Lonchura striata: one gene and its partner. The protein of the gene in region 1 purifies or fractionates together with the protein of each later gene. This does not show direct contact. Links are inferred from orthologs where the notes say so. Each region holds a gene or a part of one and is shown on either strand. Other genes may lie near its edges.

What was found.
Region 2: the proteins of NIPSNAP2 (region 1) and HADHA purify together in Homo sapiens (affinity purification with mass spectrometry; 3 studies listed by BioGRID and IntAct, with this or other methods). This does not show direct contact. The link is inferred for Lonchura striata from reciprocal best matches to the Homo sapiens genes NIPSNAP2 and HADHA.

Annotation. Positions count from the first base shown.
Region 1 is NC_134622.1:6,390,989-6,399,392, reverse strand, and holds the start of NIPSNAP2 (protein NipSnap homolog 2), read right to left. Parts: upstream 3,513-8,404; 5' UTR 3,482-3,512; coding exon 3,396-3,481; intron 1-3,395. Other genes in the region: MRPS17 (small ribosomal subunit protein uS17m), read right to left, coding at 7,568-7,858. UniProt on the Homo sapiens protein: Protein involved in mitophagy by facilitating recruitment of the autophagy machinery required for clearance of damaged mitochondria.
Region 2 is NC_134605.1:113,198,503-113,206,647, reverse strand, and holds the start of HADHA (trifunctional enzyme subunit alpha, mitochondrial), read right to left. Parts: upstream 3,469-8,145; 5' UTR 3,432-3,468; coding exon 3,344-3,431; intron 1-3,343. Other genes in the region: HADHB (trifunctional enzyme subunit beta, mitochondrial), read left to right, coding at 5,696-5,762, 6,121-6,162, 7,577-7,673. UniProt on the Homo sapiens protein: Mitochondrial trifunctional enzyme catalyzes the last three of the four reactions of the mitochondrial beta-oxidation pathway.

The sequences.
Region 1 (8,404 bases):
ACCCCCATGGGTCCCACTACAATGCATTTTTCATAGTTCTATTTCTTTAAAGTATCCAGACTTATTTGCAAGGCCATCCTTTGAAACTTGTTTCTAGTTCCCTTTTTTTCTCAACAATGTCTTTTCTATTTCATGGCATTTCTAAGTCAGCATTTCTTATCTCCAAGTTTGCATATGGATGCCCACTATGAGAGCCTTCTGCCAGGCTTTGAGAATTCTCTACAAATCCGTTTCCCACATTTCCCCTTCTCTCTTGAACAGAAAAAACTTCTCTGATGGCCTTGTTCATCATTTGCTGTGCACAGTGAAGCACACAAGGTGCTAACACTGTCACTGTAACAATTAATGTACATAAAATCTTCCATCAAACTTTAAAAATTCTCTACAAACCCTATTCCCACAACCCACATTATCCATGCTTATTCCCTGTGCAATGGCTGCTTCTCCTGCCTATTTATCCTCTTTTTTAACCCATTGTTTTTGCCCAGGGCTGGGTCTGGCCTGGTGTAAAGAGTCAGGAGTGAAAAAGAGCAAAAAACGTGCAGAAGGAAAACTGCACAGTGTAAAAGGGAAAGGAAGTGCCATATGTTCCTGTGCTCCTTAAAGACAGCTCTACAAAAGGGAAATGTCTTTCAAGAGGAAAAATAGCATGAAATACTGATTTGGGAAAGAGGATGAGATTGCAGCAACACACAGGGACACAGAGCCAGGCTCTCTGTACAACATCCACATTTCCCCTGCCTCCAAACATAACATTTTCACTGTCTTTTCTTATCCAATCTTTGTCCAGCTTCTCCAAGTACACTTTCAAAATAGTGGCACCTCCCTTTACATCACAGCACACAGACTGTGGTTTTTTAAGTGATGTGTTAAAGGAATTATTCCTTTTTCCCAGAGACCAGGACAAGGAATCTGATGCATTTAACTGATCCTCTACAATGTCTGACAAGCTCAAAAGGTTTTGCTTCTTTCTCGTCCTCCAATTTGCCTTTTTTTGACAGCCTCATAGTAGCCACAGTGAAGAAAAATTAATTCTGTCACAAGCTTCTCCTGAAATACTGAAATATTACATGTGGCATTTGTAGCACATATATTTACTTCTAAGGTGGAAATCTCAGCCATCAACTTTTCACCCCTAACTACTGACTTGTGGATCCAGAGGACAGCTGGACCTCCAGCCCAAAGCTTTCTACCAGGAAAAGAAAACAGGGAAAGAAAATCTCAATTTCCTTTGGGAAAATATCCCCTAGGACACACCTGTATTGCACAAAAGCATTTTTTACAACAATCCACCTTTTAATCCCAGTGTCAGAAAAGAACATAATGACCTGGTTCTGCCCATGGAAGCAGGCTGGAGGAGAGGGAAAGTATTGCACAGCAGAGAAACAACCACCACAGCTGAGATGACCTTCAGCACAAAGAAATGATGTTTAAATCTTGGTGTGTTTATTGAAAATGGTGCCTGCCCTGCTCTGGGCACACACACAAACATGAGGCTGTGCTAAATTCCTGAGGGCAGGCATTTGAAGGGCAGTCCATGATAAGGCTGCTGCTGGAGTGGAGCTTTCTCTGAGCTCAGAGAACCCCACCTCAGAAATTCAAGTTTTGTTTGAAAAGGCTCCCTCAAATTAAGCCCTCCCTGGCTCCAGGAGGCAGAAGTCAAACCCTGCAATACTCAGACCTGTAAACTCTCATTTTAAACAATTCCCTCCCCTTTATTAAACAAAGTTAGCAAGGTAATATTTAGAAAACTCATCTACAAGGATCATTGTTTGCAGCAAACTTTGAAGAGGAAAAAGAACTCCATCAGCAGCAGAAGTAAGCTGGAGCTACAGGGATTAACTCTGAAAAGCAAATTTCTTTGCTGTTAGGAGAATCTCGTGACTTGAATGTTAAACTGCACTGAAAACTGGAGGTATGGTTAATTTTCAAAACAATGACATGAGTAATATTTTACATGTATGGAAAAATCTTTTCCCCAGCAGCTGTAAAGCTCCTCATGAGCACAAATCACAACTAAATATACACCTCACACACTGCACCCAAACTGAGATTCAATAGCCTGACTTTTAATCAATATCCTAAAAATACCACTGAACCAAGAAGCCCTGAATTGATCACTGATTCAATTTTTGGGGCAATCTGTACCCAAAATTAGCTCTGGAGGAGCAGGGACTGAATTCAGGTCTTTCAACAGCTGTGAGCATCAACTTGTCTTTGAGAACTTGTCATCAAGTTCTCAAGCTGCAAATATTAACTGTGGGCCTTGCTTTCCTGCTGCAAAGGTTGGGCTCTGAACACAAAAGGCTAACACTGAATTGCTTGTTTAGATTAGATTAAAAATCTCACGGAAAACACCTTTTTAGCACAAAACATAACCTGGGTGGGACACACCAGGTTAAGTATTTAGATTTTGTAGTAACCCAAATCTACCTGGAAGAGTAAGAAAACCAACTTTTCTATCTTTGACAGCTTTTGATCTGTGGTCTAAACAAAGTTTATTTGCAACTAAAATATGCAAAAATCATGCAGGTAAAACCTCACAACACATTCCCTGAACAGCTGCTTGCAGGGATGCTTGTTCTAGAGCTTGAAGCGGCAGCTTCAAGGAAAGGGAGGAAAAACTGTGTAGATCCATCCCAGCTTGGGAATTCCTGTGTTTCCATCACCCTGTGCCTGCTTCCTACACCTGGGAGGTGCCCCCAGGAGCTGTGTGCGTGTATGAATGCACCTCGGGCACCCTCGCACACAGAAATACAAATCTCTGCACACCAAAACCTGCGGGATGTGCCTCTCTGTGTGCCCTAGCACCGGGAGAAGGTGAGCCCAGCTCCCACGGGAAGTACCAGCCGTGGCTGTGAACGGTGAAGGCAGGAAGACATCGGGATGTGCAGCCACGCAAACCCTGGGCAAGCAGGGATTTGCGGCCGTGCCCGCTGACAGGAGCCGCTGCCGGCCGTGCACCCTGTTGCTCGGAGGAGTTGGAGGGGCAGCGCGGTGCGAGCATCCCGGTGTCTAACACGGGCGCAGCGGTGCGCAGGCGGCGGGGCACCCCGGAGCCGCGGCGCGCCCGCTCCGCGCGGGGGTGGCCGTGAGGGGAAAGGCTCCGGGCGCCCCCCGAGCCCGGGCTCCGGCGGCCATCCTCCCACCCAGGGGCGGACTCGGGGAGGGAAGGAAGGGGCCGGCCTTGCGGCCCGTGACCTTGAGGGACGCCCCGCCGCTCGCACCGCCCGCCCCAGGCCCGGCCGCTGCCCCGCCGGCGGGGCGCCATTTCCAGCCTGGCAAGGGGACGCTGCGCGCGGCGGGGCGCAAGGCGGCTCGGGCGGCGCCGGCTCTTGCCGTGCAGCTTCCCCCGGCGGCCCCGTCCCGCCCGCCTCGCCCCCCTCAGGGCTCACCTGAGGGCAGGCCCGGTGCCGGGCTGCAGGCGCGGCAGGGCGGGCGCTCCCGCCAGGCTCCCCCGCAGCAGCACTCGCGCCGCCATCTTGCTCCCGCCGCCTCCCTCCTGGGCCGGGGGCTGCGGCCACGCCCCCTGGCGGGCAGCGCCGCCCGCGCATGCGCGGCCCCGCGACCCCCTCACGGCCCCTCAGCTGAGGGGGGACCCCGGCCCCGCCTTGGGGGGACCCAGTCGGGTTTAGGGGACCCTGCCCAGCTCTGGGGACCGCTACTCAGATATAGGGGAACCAGTTCTGGTTTTGGGGTTACCCAACCTTGGTTTAGGGAGGACCAAGTCAGATTTGAGGGAACCAAGCCAGCTTTAAGGGGACCTTGCTCAGCTTTGTGGACCGCTACTCAGATATAGGGGACCCAGCTCTGGTTTTGGGGCTCCCCAGCCTCGGTTTTGGGGGAACCAAGTCGGATTTGGGGGAACCAAGTCGGCTTTAGGGAGAACCATGCCCCGGTTTGGGAACACCTACTTAGACATAAAGGGACCCCAGCCCCGGTTTGGAGGGACCAAGTTGGGTTTAGGGGGACCCTGCCCAGCTTTGGGGACCGCTACTCAGATATAGGGGAACCAGTTCTGGTTTTGGGGCTCCCCAGCCTCGGTTTTGGGGGGACCAAGTCGGATTTGGGGAGAACCATGCCCTGGTTTGGGAACACCTACTCAGACATAAAGGGACCCCAGCCCCAGTTTGGAGGGACCAAGTTGGGTTTAGGGGGACCCTGCCCAGCTTTGGGGACCGCTACTCAGATATAGGGGACCCAGCTCTGGTTTTGGGGCTCCCCAGCCTCGGTTTTGGGGGGACCAAGTCGGATTTGGGGGAACCAAGTCGGCTTTAGGGAGAACCATGCCCCGGTTTGGGAACACCTACTTAGACATAAAGGGACCCCAGCCCCGGTTTGGGGGGACCAAGTAGAGTTTAGGGGGACCCTGCCCAGCTTTGGGGACCAAAACCAGTCTTGGTTTTGGGGGGATCAAGCCAGATTTGGGGGGAACCATGCCCCGGTTTGGGAACACCTATTCAGACGTAGAGGGACCCCAGCCCTGCTTTGGGGGGACCAAGTCAGCTTTAGGGGAACCCTGCCCAGCTTTGGGGACCGCTACTCAGATACAGAGGACCCAGGTCTAGTTTTGGGGTTCTCCAGCCTCGGTTTTGGGGGAACCAAGTCGGATTTGGGGGAACCAAGTCGGCTTTAGGGAGAACCATGCCCCAGTTTGGGAACACCTACTCAGACATAAAGGGACCCCAGCCCCGGTTTGGGGGGACCAAGTTGGGTTTAGGGGGACCCTACGTAGCTTTGGGGACTTCTATTCAAATATAGGGGAACCAGTTCTGGTTTTGGGGTTCTCCAGCCTTGGTTTGGGGGGGGGACCAAGTCGGATTTGGGGGCGATTTCCCAGCCCTGGTTTGGGAACACTTAAGACGTAGAGGGACCCCAGCCCTGGTTTGGGGAGATCTACTTGAATTTGGGGGGACCCCAGCCAGAGTTTTGGGGTGTCCCCAGCCTTGTTTAGGTTTACCCAAGCCCCAGTTTGGGGAGGAACCCACTTGGACTTATTAAGACCCTCAAGCCCCAGTTTTGACAGACTCCTGCCCCAGTTAGGGGGACCCTGGGCTCAGTTTGGGGCGACTCCAGTCTCGGGTTGAAGTCCCCCAGTCAGATTTAGGGGAATCCCAGCCCTGGTTTTAGGGGACCCAGTTGGATTTAGGGGACTCCCAGCCCTGGTTTTAGGGGACCCAGTTGGATTTAGGGGACTCCCAGCCCTGGTTTTAGGGGACCCAGTTGGATTTAGGGGACCCCCCAGCCCTGGGTATGTTGCTCTCCCAGTACATTTTTGACTCGCTGGTTGCTGAAGGGTTTTCCTCACACTCTGCTCTGCTGTACTTGGATATATTTTCGCAGAGGAGGAGGTGTGTGCTGGCATTGAATCCTTAAATCACTTCAAATTAAGGATAAAGTGATAATTAGAGTAATAATTAAAGGCTAGTTCTAAAAGCAACAAGCCAATAAACACAGAAAGCAGTCAGTGACTAATCCTTATCATTCCATGTAACACCTGTAATGATTCTATCTTGGCCCTATAAACTTTCCCTTCCCATTTTATGACTTTTCTATCAGCACTTTCTGAGACTAATCCAGAAGATAACACATATGATGTGCTTTAACATCACAAAAGTACAATCTTTGTACTTTAAAACAATTTAACCTACAATTGCCATGACTCTTAAGTAACACAGTCTGACATGTAATTTGGTTTTAGTGACATTTTGATCTGACAGTGTGGCAAGTTCTTGAGCAACCCTCCTGGAGCCTACACTGGAAAAATTATAACCTTCTGTGATGAATCAATCTTATAGGAAAAAAAGTGGCATTTTCACAGCTACTCAAGGGAAATCACAAGACAAGAAAATATTCACTCCCCTAATTAGATGTAGATGCAACCTATTAAGCAAACAGGAAAGCTTTGCAATTTTTTATAATTATCTAGTTATCAGAACACTTATATTCCAAATATTGAGGGTCAATTTCTGCTTGGATACAGCTTCAGTGCACTTCCTATAGCCCAGGACCAAGTTCTACCCTGTGTCCAAGTTCTCCCAATCTCTGCTTGGATGAAGTTTCGCATTTTGCATTCACCTGGGCAGGAATCAGAGCTCAGGTTTTTCCTTTGCTTTGATCAGCCAGCTCCAATTCCTGAGGAATTTACATAAACCTAAACCTCTGCCACAAACAACAAGAAAAACCCAACAGCCACATGCTTAAGGCACTTCCTCAACCTCAGAGCCTGTGCCCACAGAATTTCACACAGAACATTTCAGTGAAAGTTTCTTGACAACCCACATGAACACTGGCATTCAAAGAGCAGCATTTTTTGCTTTGAAGCACCAAAGGAACTTTAAGGTTTTCATTCCTGTTGTCCCAAATCATTTGCTGAGTTCACTCAGGCTTTTTAGGCAGCCAGAACTGATTTTGTGCAGGAAGTTAAAGGGAAAATGATCCTTAATAATTTTACAACAGCAGAGAACACAACTGGAAGCTACTCAGTTGCTTAAAGTAAGATATTTTAGGTCAGAGGCTAAGATTTTAAGTCTGATACACCTTGTTTTTTGCTTCTGACCCTAAAGACCAATGGATACTTTGGAAAGGATTGCTCACAGCTCTCATATCCCACTCTCCCCTCCCACACTGCCAAATTTTAAGACAGATGCCCTTTTAGATCCAAAGTCAGAACAGGAGGCTGCTGCAACAGCTGCAGGCTCTCATCTTGCTCTATGTCCTGGAGGAGAGGACATGAGATCCCCAGAGCTGTAGCAGGATAAAATCATCTTTCATCACTAACTCCTTGGGCCTTTAACTCCACATTAAAACATGCAGCAAACCAGCACCTCTAGCTCCCCAAAATGTGTTATTTTAATTAGCTTTTCTAATGAGCCTAAATCTAATCATTTTTAGGCTTTGTATTCTCATCAGCTCCCCCGTCCTGCTGGCAAAGCTCAAGGAGATCCAGCTCTCCCAGCATGAAATCCTGCTTGCACAGGGGACAGAGCCAACCACACTAAGCTGCCCAAAGCTTTGATTCTCACCTCTCTGCCACTAGAAAGGCAAAGGGCTGTGTTTTTGTTAGAGTTTGGAAGTCAGAAGGCACTGTAAGAGGAAATAAGGACACAATCATGCAGCTGATTGTAAAATTCTACACTTCCTTTCAAAAGCTTTAATAGCACCATCTCCAGTAACCCTACAAACCACAAAAGACTGCCTGAAACACAGAACAATCAAATAATATAATGACCCTCCCACCGAAATTAAACATCACACAGTTGTAGTCTTGTCTTAACACAGAGAGGTCATTCCAGGAGGGCAGCTGCCTTTGGGAACTGTCACTGGGGCAAAACTACAGGCAACAAAATGAGGTGTGAACACTAAACTTGCATTTTTTTTCTGTATTTTCATTCAAAGATCCAGGTGCCCATCAAACTGCAACATCTCTTTGCATAAGCAACTACATTTACTATTTATTTTGACTACAGATTTCACTGAAACATTTAACATATCACAGCAGGGCCTCAAACATCCCTGACAGAGAGAGACAAAAGCTGGAAGCCCTCTGCTTAAAATATTTCCCCCACTATTTGTCTGTTGAACAAACTTTAAGTTCCTGAAGTTTCTCACTTAGATAGGTGGTATCTGCCTCAGTGAGATTTTCTGAATCTGACAGGTTTTCCAGGAATCTGGTTCCTGCACAGGGCTTTCCTGTGATGGGATCTATGACATTGCCAACCTTGAACACAATTTCAGCCAGTTCGTGTTTCACGTGTTTGCTCCTTCTCTCAGGCAGAGCTTTCAGAAGAACAATGTCTCCAACAACACACTGCTGCAGTGGGTCATGGGCAAAATAGGTTTTTCTTTTGTTAAAGAACTGTAAAAGGAACAAAAAGAATAATAACAATAATAAAAAAAGAAACCTTGGTATTATATTTCAAAGTTACGTGATGGTTAAATATATAACTAATATAAAATAAATTTCACTAAAATCTTATGCATCTTTTAAAGTGAGATTCAGTTTGGATCATGAAGAGAAATGCAACTGTGCACTCCACAGGTTCTCCACAGAAAGCACACAGCACTGCTGTTTCCCAATCTCTTCTCAGCACAGTGTTGCCAACTGAGCCTGGAGAAAGGAGATGGGGAAGAAAAAGCTCTGAAATCTGTATTTTGAAGTTTTTTATGTGAGAGTTTTCTAGCTGAAATATTTTTTTTTCCACATAAAAAGTCTTTTTTTGTTCTTATTAGAACAGCAGAGCTCAGAATTTTTTTATGAAATAGATTAGGTTAAGAAATAAAGAAAGGTTTTTCTACTGGATAAAATATTGACATGGGCTCCACAAGACCCATTTTCCAATCCTGACTCTATCCTTAACCTTTTGGTTACCAAAGGCAATTTATTCTACCTCCATGTACCACT
Region 2 (8,145 bases), on another chromosome or scaffold:
TTGAACTGGGAACTGCCTCCATGGCTCAGGGAAAAGCCTTTTTCCAGTCCTGGAGCAGCCCAAGCCCCAGCAGCACGGAGCTCAGGCTGCCTGAGCTGTCCCTGCCAGCTGAGCACGGAGCTGTGACCCGTGAGAAGGGAAACTCCCGGCACACTGAGCTTCCCAAGCCACCCTGGGAACCTGGTGGCACACGGATGTGGCCCAGCAGGTACAGCCAGCCCTGGAGCTCACCTGGCTCCTGACTGCTCCCTGCCTTTGGGCTGCCCCTGAGAGCTTTGCATGCACTTCCCAAGCTTTGCAAGGCAGAACGAGGGTATTCATTCATTAGCAACGGTGGTAGTGTCCTCACAGCAGCTCCAGGGCTGTTTGTTGTGGAGAGCTTCACCAGTTGGAACAAGAATTCCAACCAGCAGCAGCCTGAGAACTCTCTGGAGTTGCCACAAGTCTCCTCCTCAGTGATTGCAGCTCCCTGTCACGTACAAACCTGCTCCAAGGCTGCACGTAACACAGCTGTGATCCCAGAACCAGGAATTGCTCACCAGGATCCCTGAACCGTGGGATTGCTCACCATGATCCTGGAAACATGGGATTGCTCATCATGATCCCAGAACTGTGGGATTGTTCACCATAATCCCAGAACCAGGAATTGCTCACCATGATCCCTGAACCGTGGGATTGCTCACCATGATCCCAGAAACATGGGATTGTTCATCATGATCCCAGAACTGTGGGATTGCTCACCATGATTCCAGAAACGTGGGATTGTTCATCATGATCCCAGAACCATGGGATTGTTCACCATGATCCCAGAACCAGGAATTGCTCATCATGATCCCAGAGCCATGGAATTGCTCACCATGATCCCAGAACCAGGAATTGCTCACCACGATCCCAGAACCAGGAATTGTTCACCATGATCCCAGAACCAGGAATTGTTCATTATGATCCCAGAAACATGGGATTGTTCACCACGATCCCAGAACCATGGGATTGTTCACCATGATCCCAGAACCAGGAATTGCTCACCATGATCCCAGAACCAGGAATTGCTCACCATGATCCCAGAACCAGGAATTGCTCACCATGATCTGCTGTGCCACATGCCGCGCCACAACAATGATTCCAGAACCAGGAATTGCTCACCATAATCCCTGAACCAGGAATTGCTCACCATGATCCCAGAACCAGGAATTGTTCATTATGATCCCAGAAACATGGAATTGTCCACCATGATCCCAGAACCATGGAATTGCTCACCCTGATCCCAGAACCATGGGATTGTTCACCATGATCCCAGAAACAGGAATTGCTCACCATGATCCCAGAACCAGGAATTGTTCATCATGATCCCAGAACCATGGAATTGTTCACCAGGATCCCAGAATCATGGGATTGTTCACCATGATCCCAGAACCAGGAATTGCTCACCATGATCCCAGAACCAGGATTGCTCACCATGATCCCAGAACCAGGAATTGCTCACCCTGATCCCAGAACCAGGAATTGTTCACCATGATCCCAGAACCAGGAATTGCTCACCATGATCCCAGAACCATGGGATTGCTCACCATGATCCCAGAACCAGGCATTGCTCACCATAATCCCTGAACCAGGAATTGCTCACCATGATCCCAGAACCATGGACTTGTTGGATAAGAGCTCTCAGAGCACCGAGTCCAGCTCTGAACCCCGCACTGCTGAGCTCAGGTTTGGGTTTAAACGAAATAGAGCTGGAGTTTGGGTCAACATCAACACCAGACTCTGAGGCCCTTCAAAGTGCTCAAATGTGAGGTTTCCAGAGCTTCCCAGCCAGGCCCTCTGGCCTTCCCAGGGCTCCTGGGGACTCCCTGCCTCGGTGGCCAGGAGGCACCAAGCCAGATCCGTGCAGAGGCAGGAGAGAGCCACAGCCCTGCCCAAGCTGGCAAGGGAGATGCCCCCACAAAATCATGGAATCACTGAATCCCAGGATGGTTTAGATGGGAAGGAATGTTAAAGCTCATCCAGTGCCACCCCTGCCATGGCTGGGACCCCTTCCACTATTCCAGGTGGCTCCAAACCCCAGTGTCCAACCTGGCCTTGGGCACTGCCAGGGATTATCCAGGGGCAGCCCCAGCTGCTCTGGGAATTCCATCCCGGCCCCTCCCTACCCTCACAGGGAACAATTCCTAATTCCCAATCTCCCATCCAGCCCTGCCCTCTGGACACAGCCATTCCCTGGGTCCTGTCCCTCCATTCCTTGTCCCAAATCCCTCTGCAGCTCTCCTGGAGCCCTCCAGGCTCTGAGCTCTCCCCAGAGGATGATTCTTTTCCCAAGGCTGAACATCCCCAATTCTCTCAGCTGAGAAATCATGGAGCACCTGGAGACAGCCTCCCCCCAGGCAAGTGGGACTACGGGGTCACAGGGATGACAGGGATCCCATGGATACACCTGCCTGCCTGGAGGGCAGCCACAGCACCCAGGCTGCCAAGGACATGGGGACACCCTCTCCTTTCCAAGCAGCCACTCGGGGCACTGGGGACAGGCACACGTGTCAGGGCACAAGGACACTCTCTCCCCGTGGCTCAGCTCATGTGCAGGGATCTGACTGGAGGGTGTGTCCCCCCATCAGTGCCAGCTCACTGGGACCCCCCAAGAACTGCTCAGAGATTCCCACAGCGTGTCCCTGTGCAAGGACTGGCACAGCAGGATGTCCCCATGGGGGCACACAACCCCCAGAGACCACAGGACACGGAGGGGACAAACCTCGGGGTGGGGGATGTTTGGGACCTGCCAGGGATCCCCTTGGGTGACTCTGGGGACAAACCCCTCACACGGGGCACAGACACACATGGGGACACCTCCCACCCCACAGCTGCCCCGGGGATCCCCTGTCCCAGTCCCGGCCCTCACAGCCTTCCTGCGAACTCCTCACAGCCATCACCTCAAGAACCCTTTGTGACCCCCAGACACCCCCAACTCCTGCCCCAGCACCATGAAATCCTCTCTGGGACCCCTTGTTCCTCATCCCCTCAATGTCACCCCGGCCCTCGCCCACTTAGCGCGGCTCTCAGTGCCCCCCTGCCCCTCGCCCCCTCAGCGCCACCCCTGCAGCGCCTCCTCACCGTCCCCCCAAAACTTTCTCCTCAGTGAGCCCCATCCCACGCCAATCCTCGCTCCTTTAGCGTCCCCCGAGCCTTCACTGCCCCTTCACTGCCCCCCTGCCCGCCAGCGCTCCCCTTCCCTCAATACCCCCTCAGGCACCTCCCGTCCCTCACCCCCCACTGCCCCCATCCCCCGGTGCTCCCCTCAGGCGGGGGCCCCCGCAGTGCGGCCGCTCCCGCTCCCCGCCGTGCCCTGGCTCACCGCGGGGCGGGGTGTGCCGCGTCGGGCCGGCCCTGGCGGCGGCCGGGAGGCGGCCGAGGCTGCCGATGGCTCGCACCGCCGCCGCCATCTTCGCCGAGGTCGAATGAGGGAGGAGAGGCCGCCGGTGGGGGGGGGGGCCTGACGGCGCACGCCCCGCCCGCCGCGCCCCGCCCGCGCTGCCCGCCGCGCTGCCCGCGCGCTTCGCCGCCGCCGCCGCCCCGCCGCCGCCTCCCGCTCCGCTCTCCGCCGAGCCTCGGGTGGGTGCGACCCGCGCCGGGCCGCAGCGGATTGCGGGAGAGGCCGGGGACGGGCTGCGGGGCGGCGGTAGAGGGAGAGGTGCGGGTCAGGCGGACGCGGGCAGCCCGAGGGTGGCGGGGCGCGGGGTCCTCGCTGGGTGGAGGAGCGGCGGCGGCGGCAGAGCGCGGTGAGGGCGGAGGTGAGCGGACGGAAAGGGACGGGAGCGCACGGGGCGGTCAGGGGCTCCGTCCTGCGTGGACGGCAGCGCGGGGAGGGTGGGAGCAGTCGGGAGGCGGTCCTGAGGAGGAGGGTGGGGGTCAGGCGCGGTGCGGGCTGGAGCAGAGGGTCGGGGGTCTGTCCTCAGCGGGCGGGGAGGGATGAAGGGAGGCCGGGGGTGGGGGCAGATGGAGGGGGGACGTGAGGGGAGTCGGGGGGTTCGTTCTCGATGGAAGTGAGGGGAGGCGGGGGGTTCGTTCTGGGTGGACGTGAGGGGACTCGGGGTTTCCTTTTGGATGGACGAGGAGCAGTGAGGCGAGTCTGGATCATTCTGAATGGACGGGGAGCAGTGAGGGGAGTTGAGGGGTTCGTTCTGGATGTGAGAGGAGTCTGGGTGTTCATTCCAGTTGGAAGTGAGGGAAGTTGGGGGGTTCGTTCTGATGGATGGGGAGACGTGACAGGAGTTGGAGGTTCTTTCTGGATGGAAGTTTGGGGAGTCGGGCAGTTCGTTCCGAATGGGAGTGAGGGGAGTTTTGGTGGGTTCATTCCTGATGGATGGGGTAGGGGGGCTGGGAAAGGGTGAGGAGGTCCCAGGGGGTCAGTGCTGGATGGATGAAAGGACTGAGGGGCTGGTCCTGGGCGGACAGCAGGGGTCGTGAGTTGGCCCTGGGTGGATGAGGGGGTTTGGGGGTGGCTGAGAGCAGCACGGGTGTGTTTGGGGTGGGAGTCCCGGGGTGGAGGTGGCGGTGCTGCGGTGTGAAAGTGTCAGGGGTGTGTGGGGACAGGAAGGGAGCAGGGGCTGTTCATGGAATTGTGGATTATCCTGAGTTGGAAGGGATCCGTGAGGGTCACAGAGCTGTGGAATCCAGGCAAATCCTGGCTCTGCAAGGAGCTTTGTCTTGACGATTTGTGTGGGCAGGGCTGAGCCCTTGGGGTGCCAGGGGAGCACTGGCTCCCAAAAATGAGGGAGTTTGGGGTGTTTTGAAGGGGCAGGAACGGGGGTGCACCGGGAGGAGATGGCTGTGCAGTGTGGGAGGGAGGAGGAGGTTACACCTGGGAGAAACTTCTGTCAGCTGGGCAGGGAAAATTTAGGGGAAAACTTCAGTCAGGTGTGGGGAGGGAGGTTGGCAGAGGTGGAGGAGGAGCAGGATGCTTTGGAAAGGTCTGGTTTTGGGATTTTTGTTGGCAGGAGGAGCCTGGGGCTGGGAAGGGTCACATTCCAGGTGTGGAGCTGCAGCTGGGAGGTGTCAAAGGGGGTGACTGGCAGCTTGTGCTGAGTTATGGGGAACTGCAGAGGGCTGGGTTTGGGACTGTGGGTGTTCCTGTGCCCCTCCATGGCAAAACTCTGTGCTTGGGAGAGAAAGTGCCAGGATTTGAACCCACAAAGTGTGACAGAGGGAGATGAATGTTGACATGGATCAAGCAAAGTCCTGGAGCTGTGAGGGCCATCTCGGCAATAAACTGCAGATGAGGGTTTGTTTATAGGGAAACCCGATTTGGGAGAGCTTCAGAGGGGTTTTTGGGGGCGAACTTGCTGTGTTTGCTGTGGGGATGCACAGCAGGATCCTCAGGCTGGCACCAGGGGCCAACGAGGGGCAGGGGTGCCAAGGACACTGCTGGTGTCAGGAGGTGCTGCTGGCAGCAGGGCTGCCTGGGCACTGGGACAATTTTCCAGTGGGAAGTGGAGGAGCAGTTCCTGGGAGGGAATTGAGAAGCTCACAGGGCGGTGTTTATTCACAGGCACAAGCGTGGTGGGAGGTGATTCCCTGTGCTGCTGCTGCCCTTGCAGTGTGTGCCCCTCACCTTGCTGGCTCTGTGTGAGGCAGGCAGGACGCTTCCCTTGGGATTGTTCTGGACACAGCAGCTTGGACTGAGCCCAGCCTTTCCCTAGATCCCAAAATGAGTTCCATGCTGAGCTCTGCCCTGCGGAACCTCCCCGTGTCCTCAGCCTGGGCTGCTGGGGCCTGTGAGTATCTTTAGATTTTATTGGTGGCCGTAAACCTCTGGTTGAAGTGTTGGGTTTGGAATGGATGCTGGGGTCTGAATCTATACCCGTTCTCACCTTTAAAAGACTGACATTTTTTACTTTTTAATCCTAATTACATTGTTGCCTTGTTTGTCCCTTCCTGCATCATATGGGGAGGAGTCTTGAGTTAACAGTTAACAGAAAGTGTACCAGGTTTCTGCACAGAGTAAACCACCCAACACCCCACAGGTGCTCAGGTGTCTTAGAGTGACACTATCTGCTTTCCTAACCCTTCTTGCAGAGACTAGAACTGTTTCTGACATTTTTCTGGTATTTTTTCCCCTTTCTTGTTTTCCAGTTACTCGATCACTCAGCTGCTCCTCGCCGTTCCAAGCTGCAGGTAAGGAGGAAACACCAGAATCTCAGTGGGTCTGTGCTAGACAGGGGTGTTTTGGAAGCTGCCTCCACTTCCCACAGTCTTGTTCCACTTAAATCTTAGAAATGGTGCAGAATGCAGGGTGGTTCGGGTGTTCCTGAAAAGCTGCAAGCAAGGAAAACTTCAGGCAAAGCAGTATTTGCAGCAGAGTCCTCTCATTTGCTGAGTGCCCTGGCGCCCAGTGCCATTCCCAGTTTGCTCCCAGTGGCCATTCCCAGTCTGCCCCCAGCTCCCAGTGCCATTCCCAGTCTGCCCCCAGCTCCCAGTGCCATTCCTAGTCTGCTCCCATGCCCATTCCTAGTCTGCCCCCAGCTCCCAGTGCCATTCCCAGTCTGCTCCCAGTGCCATTCCTAGTCTGCTCCCAGTGCCCATTCCCAGTCTGCCCCCAGCTCCCAGTGCCATTCCTAGTCTGCTTCCATGCCCATTCCTAGTCTGCCCCCAGCTCCCAGTGCCATTCCTAGTCTGCTCCCATGCCCATTCCTAGTCTGCCCCCAGCTCCCAGTGCCATTCCTAGTCTGCTCCCAGTGCCATTCCTAGTCTGCTCCCATGCCCATTCCCAGTCTGCCCCCAGCTCCCAGTGCCATTCCCAGTGTGCTCCCAGGGCCATTCCCAGTCTGCCCCCAGCTCCCAGGGCCATTCCCAGTCTGCCCCCAGCTCCCAGGGCCATTCCCAGTCTGCCCCCAGCTCCCAGTGCTATTCCCAGGCTGCTCCCAGTGCCCATTCTCAGTCTGCCCCTGGCTCCCAGTGCCCGTTCCCAGTTTGCCCCAGCTCCCAGCACCATTCCCAGTTTTTAGTCTCAGCCCACAGTGAGTGGCTGGGGTGATCCACGCTCTGGGTTCACTGTGGGGGTTGCTCAGGTGATTCATGCTTTGGGATTTTGGGAACAGGCCTGGACAGCAGCTCCCCATCATCGCCAGGCTTTGGGAAGAGCCTGAAGGAATCTCCAGACAGTGCTGGAGTTTTGTCCTGGCACTGGCCTGTGGAATGATGCCAGGTCATGACATCCCTTGTTTTGAACCTCTCCCACTGGGGAGAGAATTTCTTCCCATTAGGAAGAAATTTCTTCCCATTAGGAAGAAATTCTTGGCTGTGAGGATGATGAGGCACAGGCCCCATCCCTGGAAGTGTTCCAGGCTCAGTTGGATGGAGCTTGGAGCAACCTGGGATAGCAGGAGGTGTCCCTGTCCATGGCAGGGGTGCAATGGATGAGCTTTGAGGTCCCTTCCTACCCAAACCATTCCATGATTCCAGGATTCCTACCTTCCCTGCCTTTCACTTACACACCAAAAAAGGACAATTTCCTTTGTTTTCTAGAAGCTTTGCAGGATCTATATGAAAATTGCTGATATTCTTGTCACCATCACTTCTCTCTTCCCAGTTCAGCCAAAGACTAAGAAGACCTTGGGCAAAACTGGGGTGAAGAATGTGGTGGTGGTGGAGGGTGTCCGCATTCCCTTTCTGCAGTCTGGCACCACGTGAGTATCAGAGACCAGTGAAACCCAGCAAGCACGCCCTGGTTTGGTTAAAACTCAACTCTTTCTGTGAAAAACCTCACTTGTTCCTTTGAATGTAGTTATTCTTGGGCCTAGAGGCTCAGGAGGGGCCCTGAGTTGGGCTGCTGCAGTTATTCCAGTGTATTTAGTGCAGGAATGTGGTTTGAAGAAGGTTGTCAGTGTGTGTATGAATCCCAGGAAGGGTAAGGATTTATGGAGCATGTCTAGAGGAAGCAGTTGGAGAATTTATAGCAGAGGAAGCAACAAGTTTGACAGAACTGGCAGGACAGGGGCCAAGAATCTGCTGTAGGCTCTTCTTCCTGGATTGCTGTGCCACCAAATCCACAGCTGAACTAAAGCCACACCTGACTGTTATGGAGACAGGATGGAGAAAGGATTTTCTTATGTGCTCCCTGCTGCTTTTCTGTGGGTTTATAGCAGTGATTACAGCCCC